Linked DNA regions of Ovis aries. The protein of the gene in region 1 purifies or fractionates together with the protein of each later gene. This does not show direct contact. Links are inferred from orthologs where the notes say so. Each region holds a gene or a part of one and is shown in the gene's direction. Other genes may lie near its edges.

Region 1 (5,698 bases):
CACTGGGCTGCTTCACCCTCTGCAGCCTCAGATATGATCTGACCATGGCATCTCTCAAGAGCTGACAAGGAATCAGTTCACTCATTTACTCATTCACTTAGTCATTATTGCCCACCAGGGCTGCATTACAACTTTTGTGGGCTGTAGCAGTACTTTGCTTTTGTGGGGTCCTTCCTCTATAAAAGCACACTTAAAATTATACTTGATGACTGTGTCAATATGATAATGACTGTGTCAGTATGATAATGCCTGCCATCCAGGCTGGATTCATCATTATATATAAATTATAACTGCATTTTCCTTCTCATTTAAATTCAAACTAAACAAACTCATTTAGAAACAAACAAAACAAACTTATGGTTACCAAAGAGGAAAAGGCAGGGGAGGGATAAATCGGAAGTAATGGAGTTAATAGATGCACACTTTCATATATAAAATTGATAAACAGCCAAGACTTACTGTCTAGCACAGGGAACTGTATTTGGTATCTTATAACAAACTATAATGGGAAGAATAATTTTAAAAAGAATATAGGGAAGTATATATGTATATGTGTGTACATACCAAATAAGCCTAAATAGTTTTTTATCTTTATAAAACTCATTGAAAATGCCAAGTTTTGACACTTCCTCTAAAACAAAAATTTGTGCAATTATTCAGGTAAACTTAATCTAGTGCTCTCAATGCTAGGCATGGGGTAGAGTGGTTTTTTTTTTAATGGTAAGGAAAAGCAAAAAATAACACACAAAAATTGTTTTAAATGGAGATGGACTTGCCCTTGTAAAGTTCTGATACCAGGGGAAATTTTTCTTGAGATGTCCCAGAGCCCTTTTGCCTTGCCATGCCCAGTTGCTTCAGTTGTGTCTGACTCTTTGTGACCCCATGGACTGTAGCCTGCCAAGCTCCTCTGTCCATAAAATTTTCCAGGCAACTGGAGAGGGTTGCCATTTCCTACTCCAGAGGATCTTCCCCACCCAGGGAGCAAACCTACTTGTCTCCTGTACTGGAATGCAGATTCTTTTCCACCGCACCACCTGGGAAGCCCATCATACATATGGTGGCTCAGATGGTAACGAATCTGCCGCAACGCGGGAGACCCAGGTTCAGTCCCTGGGTAGGGAGGATCCCCTGGAGAAGGACATGGCTACCCACTCTAGCATTCTTGCCGGGAGAATAGCATGGACAGAGATGCCTGGCAGGCCACACAGAGTTGGAAAGAACTGAAGGACTAACACCTTCACATATATACACCAATTACTTTGCTGTACACTGGAAACTAACACAATCTTATAAATCAACTTTGCTTCAATAAAAAATTCAAATTAAAACATTTTCTTGGGCCCCTATTGTATGCTGTCAACATGGTGTAATGGATAAGGCACCCTTGTTGAGGGCCTACACTGTTCTAAGAGTTGCAGCCCTAGATTTACGAACACAGTGATTGTCTTCATGGAGCTTATATCTTACGAAGTGGGAAGCAGATAATAAAAGTACATTCAGCTTGAGAGTCAGTTATAACTGTTAAGGACAAAGGGCAGATAAGGAGAACAGAGAGTGTTGAGTCGGGGCGACAATATAGAGTGGACAGGGAAGGCTTCACTGGGAAAGTCTTTATCAAAACAGGCATGCATTTGGTAGAAGCACTGCTGAAGATGAGGAATCAGCACCAAGAACAAATCCCAGCCGCAACGCTCCATAAAGCGTCGCTCTCGAAGTTACGTATTCCTGACGCCTCTAAGCGAGCCCGAAGAAGGTCACTGGAAACCAGTGCCTGCCACTCCAAGCTCCATTTTGCTTCCTGGCATCAGGTAGGCGGAGTCTATTCCTTGCTCACATGTTTCTAATGGGTCAAACCGGATGCCGGGTTTCTTCACCTCCGAGTGAACGGCAACGGCGCCCGATGGCGGGGGAGGAGCATTAAGGACCAGCCCAGGTGGGAGGAATTAGAGCGGCCAAGGATGCCCTTACTCAAGATGGCGGCGCAGAGCTCGCGCTTGGTCCCGACAGGCGGCGCGCCCGTTTACGCTGCATGTGCGGCCCTGCGCTCTGGGGGGCGGGTCCACAGCGGTAGGGGCACGCGCGGCCTGCGGCCCAGTCTGAAGTCTGGGGCGCCGCGGCTGCCGCTCACGTCATCGCCACCACTCCTGGACAGTGGAGGGGAAGATGGAGCCGGCCGCCGTCGCTACCGACAGCGGGGACCGGCCGGGGGCCCCGGCTGGTTCAGGCCTGTCGGCTTCCCAGCGTCGGGCGGAGCTGCGGCGGAGAAAGCTGCTCATGAACTCGGAACAGCGCATCAACCGAATCATGGGCTTTCACAGGCCTGGGAGCAGCGCGGGTGAGAACCTCCGTTCCCCATAGTTTCCTGCCCATCCCTTTTGAGTCTCGGGGATCATTCTTCCTTGCCCTCCTCCACCCCTTGACTTTTCTGACTAAGCCCTGCTCTCTGACCTCTCCTCCGGCCCCGCCCCTTTGATGAGGTCCCAGGTTCTCACTTCTTCACCGCAGGACGTTTCTTGTATCTCTCCTTAGTTTTCCGCCGCAAACTGCAATGCTCTCGATCCTGAGACCCTCTGCCGTGGTATACTCTCTGCGCACTGACCCTGAGGCGGCCCCAACCCTGCCCTCGTCACCCCCTCGCCTCTCTTGAAGGCCGCACATTTTATTCCCAGACTGCTCTACCTACCGTGCCCGTCAGGAAGATTGCCTGTCTTTCTTTCCCTTGTCAATGCTTTCCCTTCCAGTGCCTTCCTTACCGTCTGCCTTCTTTTTGCTCTGTCGGCCCTCATGAGCTTGTCTTTACTGAACTGCCCCTGTAGTCTGTCCAACGTGAACCACGGCCCCATATCCAGGTGTCTGTGCGGTGCCCTCGACACTCATCTGCAGGCCTTCTTAAACAGGCGAAAAAAATTGGAGCGACCATTCTTTAGAGACCCAACAAGGGAAACGTGCCCATGTGAGGCCTTATCTCGTAATGTGCAGAGATTGATATGAATGATGTCAGGAACTGCCTTCAGCACTGAAAGGAGTTCCTCATTTCTCCCCCAATGACATGTACAATGGGTTTCTTAAAAAAAATTGGTTTTTCCCCTGTATTTACTGTACACTCTTACATTTCTATTTAGTGTTGCCTCTAATATTTGGCCTTCAGTCACTGGCTGCAAGTTCCTTAGATCCTTGTGACTTTTGCTCTGTGGGGCTTTAGATATATAACTCAGAATTTTTAGACAGTTCACAGATTTGCCACTGAAAACTGCCAAGAGAGGTAAGAGCCCTATTTCAAATTCTAGAACAATTGTTAGGAGACACATTTTCTCCTTTAATGGTTAATAGCAGAATATTCTTTCTTAAAGCATTTTCTTTTTTCTTTTACTTTGAGATTTTTATTTTGTCTGTCATTAAAGGTTCCCCGCCCTTTGTTTTGTTTTAAACTAGAACAGCATCCTAAAAGTGCTGAAGTACCTTCTAATGTCTCCTAGATTACAGTAGAAGGGTTATGCAAACCGGTAGCAGGAGGATATGCCACACCCTATGCTGATCGGACTCTGGATTCAGAAATGTAATATTAAAAATAGTTGTTTTAGAATATCTCCGTTCCTCTTTCCCAACTTGTCTATTAGCTTTGTCTTCTGTCCCCAAAATTTGGGTTATATCCTCTGAAAGAATACTGTCTTTGACATTTTTTGTGTGTAGAGGAAGGAATTTGTTTCTTTATGAAGGATCAGTATTAATTCAGAGACTGCCAAATTTTAGCTCTAGTGGCATATTTTTAAATATTAATAAGAAAGATGTTGGCCAGTATGTAATACTTAAGGCTTCTAAATTTCTTTTCTCAGAAGAAGAAAGTCAAACAAAATCAAAACAGCAGGACAGTGATAAACTGAACTCCCTCACCATTCCTTCGGTTTCAAAGCGAGTAGTGCTGGGTGATTCAGTCAGTACAGGACCGGCTGACCACAGTGGAGTGGCCGAGGTAAAGGGAACTCAGCTGGGAGACAAACTGGACTCTTTCATTAGCCCTTCTGAGTGCAGTAATGATATAAGCCTTGAGCTCCGGCAGCGGAACAGAGGGGACCTGACAGCCGACTCTGTCCAGAGGGGTTCTCACCACGGCCTGGAACAGTACCTCTCCAGATTTGAAGAAGCAATGAAGCTAAGGAAACAGCTGATTAGTGAAAAGCCCAGTCAAGAAGATGGAAATACAACAGAAGAATTTGACTCTTTTCGAATATTTAGATTGGTGGGCTGTGCTCTTCTTGCCTTTGGAGTTAGAGCTTTTGTCTGCAAATATTTGGTAAGAAACAGTGGGAAATGAAAATTGGTTATAGTAATGAGTGCTTTTAATCCATAAGATTCATTTCTAATATTAATGTAATATTTGTGATCCATGTGACTGTTTGGAGATGTGTTATAAACTTCTGTTTGCCTTAGGTACAGAGTGAAGTGTTCCAGTTAAATACAGAGCCTGATGATAATGCTAAAATCTTTTTATATGCTAAGTACCATTTTAAGTGCTTTACATATATTAATTCATTTAACCTCATCCTTATGAGCCAGGTAGCATTTGAATCTGTTTTGTAGATTGAAGGGAATGAAGACTCAGGTGAAATCATTTGTACAGGGTCACATTACTAAGTGACAACTGGGATTAAACCCAGGCAGTTTCATTCCAAAACCAAAGGGTAAATTACCTACATATCCTATATATTAATTACCGCTTTTCAGATAACTTGAAATACTAAAATGCAGTTTTGGTCCTGAACGTGATGTAATGTTTTTAGAGTTCAGAGGCATTTAGCATTTTATAATGTTGTACTGTTACCATAATAGCAGTCCATCATGTACCCTTAGATGCCAGTGGCTGTTCAGTGAAGGGGAAGGGTGTGTTTTACTGTTTTACAATATGTGAAGAAAAGAAAAGCACAACTCGTAGATCAGTGTCTTGCTCTTTGAGGTGTTTCCATTCAGTAGACATTTTAAGAATACCTACCAAGTACCAGGCACATAAGTAAATTTTCAGATAATTAAGGTTAATGTTATTAAGCAAAAAAGTTTTTAAAAGTCTCTCTTTATGCCATTTTTTTCTTAAAGAGAATTCTGTTGAACAGATTTTATTTTTTTCTGATGACAAATTTTCATTGTAGCTTTCAGTATTTAGTGAGATGTATAGCAGCTTTTTATCTTTTTTATGGAAAGGCCTCTGCACTTCCATGTTTTTTAAATTATGTCCTATTTTTGCGCCTCATTTCGTTTGAGGTTTTTTGGGTTTCTGGACTTTTTTCTTGCTGTCGGATTTTCAGCTGTTAATCATTGCTCCTACTATTCTTCCATTTTGTAATGCTTACTCCTTTACTCCCTTCATGATATTTTAGTTTTAGAAATAAATGTAACTGAAGTATTATTGTGATATTTTCTGTTTCATTGTGTGAGAAGCGAGATAACCAAGCTATTTTATCTATAATAGAAACACCTCATTATTTGAGGGCCAGAGGAGTTCATTTCTTGCCCCAAAGTGTGACTGAGGTAATATATGGCATCTGTTTTGAGTCCTGAGCCTTTTAGATGTGCTTTCTTTTTTTTTTTTTTTTTGGCTTCAGGGGGTCTTTATTAAGTGATGCTTTCGTCTCAAGTCTCTGCCAGGGACTGGAAGTGGGAGTGATCCCACTCCCCCTAGGCTATCCCAGACTTGCCTTCTTAGAGG
Region 2 (5,042 bases), on another chromosome or scaffold:
CTACTCCTCACACATGGGGCCTGAGGGGGTGGAGGAGGACAGACAGTGTGGGACCCTCTGCCTCTCGACCCTCCTGCCAGCTTGCAGCTTCCCCAGGGTGCCCTGTTCCTTCCTGCCTCAGGGCCTTTGCACAGGGATATTTAACCAGGGTTCCCTCCTGCCTGACCTTTAGGTCTCAGCACCAAGTCAGAGCTCCTCTCTGACTGCCAGATGGAGAGTGGGCCCTCCTTCTCCGTTCTCTGCTTGCACTTCTTTCTGAGTCTTTTTACTATAGAAGTTATCAAACTGAGAGAGAACAGCATAACAAACCCGTCTACCCATCAGCAGCTTTAGGAATACTGCTTTTTCGGTTCCCAATCATTGTTTTAACTTGTGTATTTTAAAGTAAATCCAAGAACTCGTATTGTTTTACCTGTGCATAGTGGATCATGAATCCTTAATACATAGGCCTTCAAAATACAAACTCAACATTTTATCACTCTCAGCAGTAATTCTTTAACATCGTCTACACTCACGCCATATTCTGATTGTCTTGACAAGTGTATTTTGCTTGCCTGATGGAACTCATCATGACTTGTATCATGTTCTTTCCTGTGGGTTTGTTTTATGTGTGTCTCAACCACTAGACTGTGGGCTCAATTCCTTTCTTAAGCCTAGCACAGTGCCTGACACACAGTGCTTCATATAAATACTGGTGGAGTGGAGCTCAGACAGGCTAAGTGACTTGCCCAAGAGCACACAGCATAACAGTGGAAGAGATAGGATTTGAAAAATGACTTTCTGACACCAACACCATGACTCTGAGCCACTATCCTTTAGCGAGGTGGTCATTCATTATGTTGACCGACAAACCCTGGAAAGAGGAATGGAAATGACTACATTTCATGGTTAAAAGATGAACCATAAAGCACCATGGCTGGGAGAGACCCACTGGCTGATGGGCTGAGGAGCATGGAGGTTTTCTTGTAGGAGGCACCACCTGAGATTGATCACTGAAGGCTGAGGATGTGGAGGCCAGGTGAGGGGGAAGGGCGCCCCCTGAGAAGGGACCAGTGTGGACAAAGGCCCAAGACCCAGAAAATATAGCAGAAACACTCAGGCCCTGTGGGGAGTCTGCGAGGTCTGGCAGTGAGGGTGGTGGCCTGCGGAGCTGTCACCTACACAGGCACATGGGGGACCCGAGGAGGGCAGGAGGTCGTGGCAACCCTGGGACAAGGCCGCCATTAGGCTACCTCCCCCTGTGCTGGGGTTGGGGGCCCAGGGCCAGGGCAGGGCAAGGGGAGGTCCCAGATCTATGCCTCCCTGGTCTTGTCCTCTACTTTGAAAAGGACATAAGGGCTGGCATGTCTGCATTGCAAAGAGGCGTGGTGAATATCCTACTTAAACCTTGAGCGTTATTCACTATGTGTCAGGCACTGTGTTGGGGGCTTCAAATCCTCATAGCAACTGGAAGAAATCACCATATTATATTGTGATTATCCCTCTCCTGGGAAACAGGAGACTGAGTCACAGAGAGGCCCAGCTGCCACGTGAAGTGGGGATGAGGGTGCCCCAAACCTGAGTAGCTTCAAGGTCTGGCTTCTGGGCCTCTGTCGTGTGCTGCCTCCAAAATGCCTGCAAACCTGCCTGCAGGTCACGGTTCCATAGGAACAGAATCCTCCTTAGAGACAAAGGGGACCCGCCCTGCAGAAAGGCAGGTCTGTAATGCACTCAGAACTGCTCTCTGAGCAAGTATGAATGGCCTTCGTTTTGCTTCACTTCTGCCCCTGGTAGTGATACTTGTTTGAGCTCCTGTGACTCTCATTTATTATTAGGACAGGAAGAACACTGTCGTTCAAGCTTTCCCACCTCCTGTCCAGGCCCCTCCCCAACTCACCAAGGGGTATGCTGGCTTCCTTCTCCATTCCTTGTATTTATAAGAGATATGCTTCTCCTTTATGAGATTTGAAAATGAGATTCGAAATAAAGAACTCCTGTGATAACGTAATAACTTAGATATCAATGGTAAAATATAACTAGAAAATCTTTATATGGTTAGTACTAGGAAATGCACTTTTAATATGTAGAGCAAAGAACAAATACTAATGAAAAACAAGAACATTTTAAACTAGATATAGAAAAAAATACTACACATCAAAACACATGCAGTGCAGCTTAACAGCACACAGTGGACAAGATACCATCTAGTGTTTGCATCATGGAAAAGGACTGGGACTACTCTGGAATTGCTTTTGGGGAACTGGACTAGGATTTTTTTTCACTGGGATGCCCTTTGAGGTCAAACCTGCAGGTCCTGTGTGTGTCCGTCAGTAACATCATTGATCTCTGTCTCCCAGAGTCACTCAGTTGCCGCGAAGAGCAAGGCAGGTACTATGACCTGCTCCTGAGGGACTGCATCAGCTGTGCCTCCATCTGCGGACGTCACCCCAAGCAGTGCACACACTACTGTGAGAAGACGCTGAGGAGCCAAGTGAGCCTCCTACCAGAGTTCAGGAGACAGCGGGCCGGAGAGGCCCCGACCCGAGCAGACACCCTGGGGAAGCACCAGGTGCCAGAGCACAGAGGCTTGGATGCGGGTCCAGGTAAGCCACCTGCTGTGTGTGGCCTGCACTTGGCTCAAGGTCCAAGTGGGTGGAAGGCAGGCACCAGGCCTCAATAAGGAGGGGCTGTGAAGCAGCAAGTCCAGTGCATGCAGATAACCAGGAGCCAGGCTGCGGGCTGGGCGTCACAGGAAGAGAAACTAGGCAAAGTTTACAGAAGTCTGTGGGCAAGAGGAAAGCAGCAGAAGAAAAGAGACCAGACAGTCAGGAGTCTCCTGACAGCCTCCGAATGAGCTCTCAGAACACAGGGCCACAAGTGACCGGCACAGCCAATCTGTGAGCAAGACCCCCAGGCCCATTCAGAGAGACGGAGACTCATCAGGGCCTACAGGCCATGTCTGCTCCACACAGTGTCCCTCCGGAGGTCTGGGACTTACACGTGTCCCACTGTGTCCCGAAGCGTGTGTGTGCAGGTGAGGCCAGAGCTGGGCTTGGCAAGGACTGTAAACAGAAGGTGCTGAGTCCAGACCCCGGGTCCTGAGGGTGGGGGTGGGGCGTGGAGGATGGTCACACAGCGGAGCTGACCTCTCTCCATTCCCTCCTGCCCCCCGACTCACTCCGCACCCTGCCAACCCCCACCTGGGCCCACTCCACCTCTCTGGGAAAGGCCATTCCTTTGTTTGATGGGAACAGTACAAGCTTAGCTGGGCTGGGGCTCCAGGCATCCACACCTGTGGCCACTTCCCTCCTGTCTCTGTCTTCACGGGGCTTCTCTGTGGGTCTGTCTTCCTCTTTCTAAGGACACTTGTCATTGAATTCAGGGCCACCCTCATCCAAGGTGGCCTCACCTCCAGATCCTTACATTTTTTTTTTAAAAGTTTTGTTTTGGCTACATCGGGTCTCAGTTGTGGCACACAGGATCTTTCCTGCCTCCTGCAGGGTCTTTCAGGGCTCAGTAGCTGCAGCTCTCAGGCTTAATAGCTCTGTGGGATGTGGGATCTTAGTTCCTCAAACAGGGACTGAACCCCCACCCCCTGCATTGTAAGCTGGATTCTCTTTTCCCCAACTCTACTTATTTATTTTCGGCTGCACTAGGCCTCTGCCCCTGCCAGCAGGTTTTCTCTCGTGGCGAGTTGCGGGGTGCTCTCTAGTTGTGGGGCACGGGCTTCAGTAGTTGTGGCCCATGGGCTTAGTTGCTCCATGGCATGTGAGAACTTCCCAGCCCAGGGATCGAACCCCTGTCCCCTGCACTGCAAAGCAGATTCTTAACCACTGGACCAGCAGGGAAGTTCCCCAGACCCTTAACTTGGTCACATCCACAAAGGCTCCTCTCTCACAAATCAGGTCACATGTGTGTGTAGGGTGCCTGCCCAGGGGGCTCCTTGGGGGCACATTGGCATATAGCCTGGTGGTCGGTCTTGTCCCTGGCTTTTTGCTTATCTTGGGGCATGGAGTGTTTTCTCTTCCCATCCCTGCCACTGCCACATGCGACGTCACCACTGTGAGGGCTGCCCCCAGGCCTGAAGCCAGGGAAGAGGTGCAGACAGCCTTGTGCACCTACCTCACTCCTCCCCAGCTGGCCCACTTGCTGGGCCAGGGCTGCAGGGATGCTGGCCAAATGTTCCACTGGGTCCGGCGGCAGCCAATAGCATGGAGGTGGAGTATCTGCCCCATTCCCCCAGAAGGCAGACCTGACCATGAGCACCAGTGGCCGTGGGTCCAGGCTCAAATCCTGTCCTCCCTCGGCCACACCAGCCAAGCCAAAGCCACTAGGGCCCTCAGGATGGTCACAGCACTGCCAGTCTAGCCGGCTGGAGTTCCAGCCCAGCAGCAGCAGTTTCCAGGCGAGACTGGTTCTGAGAACAGTGTAAAGGGTTGAACAAATCAAATGGAAAGTTCAGTTCAGTTCAGTTGCTCAGTCGTGTTCGACTCTTAGCAATCCCATGGACTGCAGCATGCCAGGCTTCCCTGTCCATCACAGACTCCCAGAACCTACTGAAACTCATGTCCACTGCATCGGTGATGCCATCCAACCACCTCATCGTCTGTTGTCCCCTTCTCCTCCCGCCTTCAATCTTTCCCAGCATCAGGGTCTTTACCAATGAGTTAGCCCTTTGCATCAGGTGGCCAAAGTATTGGAGTTTCAGCTTCAGCATCAGTCCTTCCAATGATATCCAGGACTGATTTCCTTTAGGACTGACTGGTTGGATCTCCTTGCAGTCCAAGGGACTCTCAAGAGTCTTCTCCAATATCACAATTCAAAAGCATCAATTCTGCGTTCAGCTTTCTTTATAGTCCAACTCTCACATCCATACATGACTACTGGAAAACCATAGCTTTGACTAGATGGACCTTTTTTGGTAAAGTAATGTCTCTGCTTTTTAATATGCTGTCTAGGTTGGTCACAGCTTTTCTTCCAAGGAGCAAGCATCTTTTAATTTCATGGCTGCAGTCACCATCTGCAGGGATTTTAGAGCCCCAAAAATAAAGTCTCTGTTTCCA

Evidence for each region. The genes of interacting proteins can lie anywhere in the genome.
Region 2: the proteins of CAMLG (region 1) and TNFRSF13B purify together in Homo sapiens (affinity purification with western blotting; 3 studies listed by BioGRID and IntAct, with this or other methods). This does not show direct contact. The link is inferred for Ovis aries from reciprocal best matches to the Homo sapiens genes CAMLG and TNFRSF13B.

The regions. Positions count from the first base shown.
Region 1 is NC_056058.1:43,870,444-43,876,141, forward strand, and holds the start of CAMLG (guided entry of tail-anchored proteins factor CAMLG), read left to right. Parts: upstream 1-2,048; 5' UTR 2,049-2,163; coding exon 2,164-2,335; intron 2,336-3,833; coding exon 3,834-4,291; intron 4,292-5,698. UniProt on the Homo sapiens protein: Required for the post-translational delivery of tail-anchored (TA) proteins to the endoplasmic reticulum.
Region 2 is NC_056064.1:34,854,405-34,859,446, forward strand, and holds part of TNFRSF13B (tumor necrosis factor receptor superfamily member 13B), read left to right. Parts: intron 1-2,336; coding exon 2,337-2,582; intron 2,583-5,042. UniProt on the Homo sapiens protein: Receptor for TNFSF13/APRIL and TNFSF13B/TALL1/BAFF/BLYS that binds both ligands with similar high affinity. Mediates calcineurin-dependent activation of NF-AT, as well as activation of NF-kappa-B and AP-1.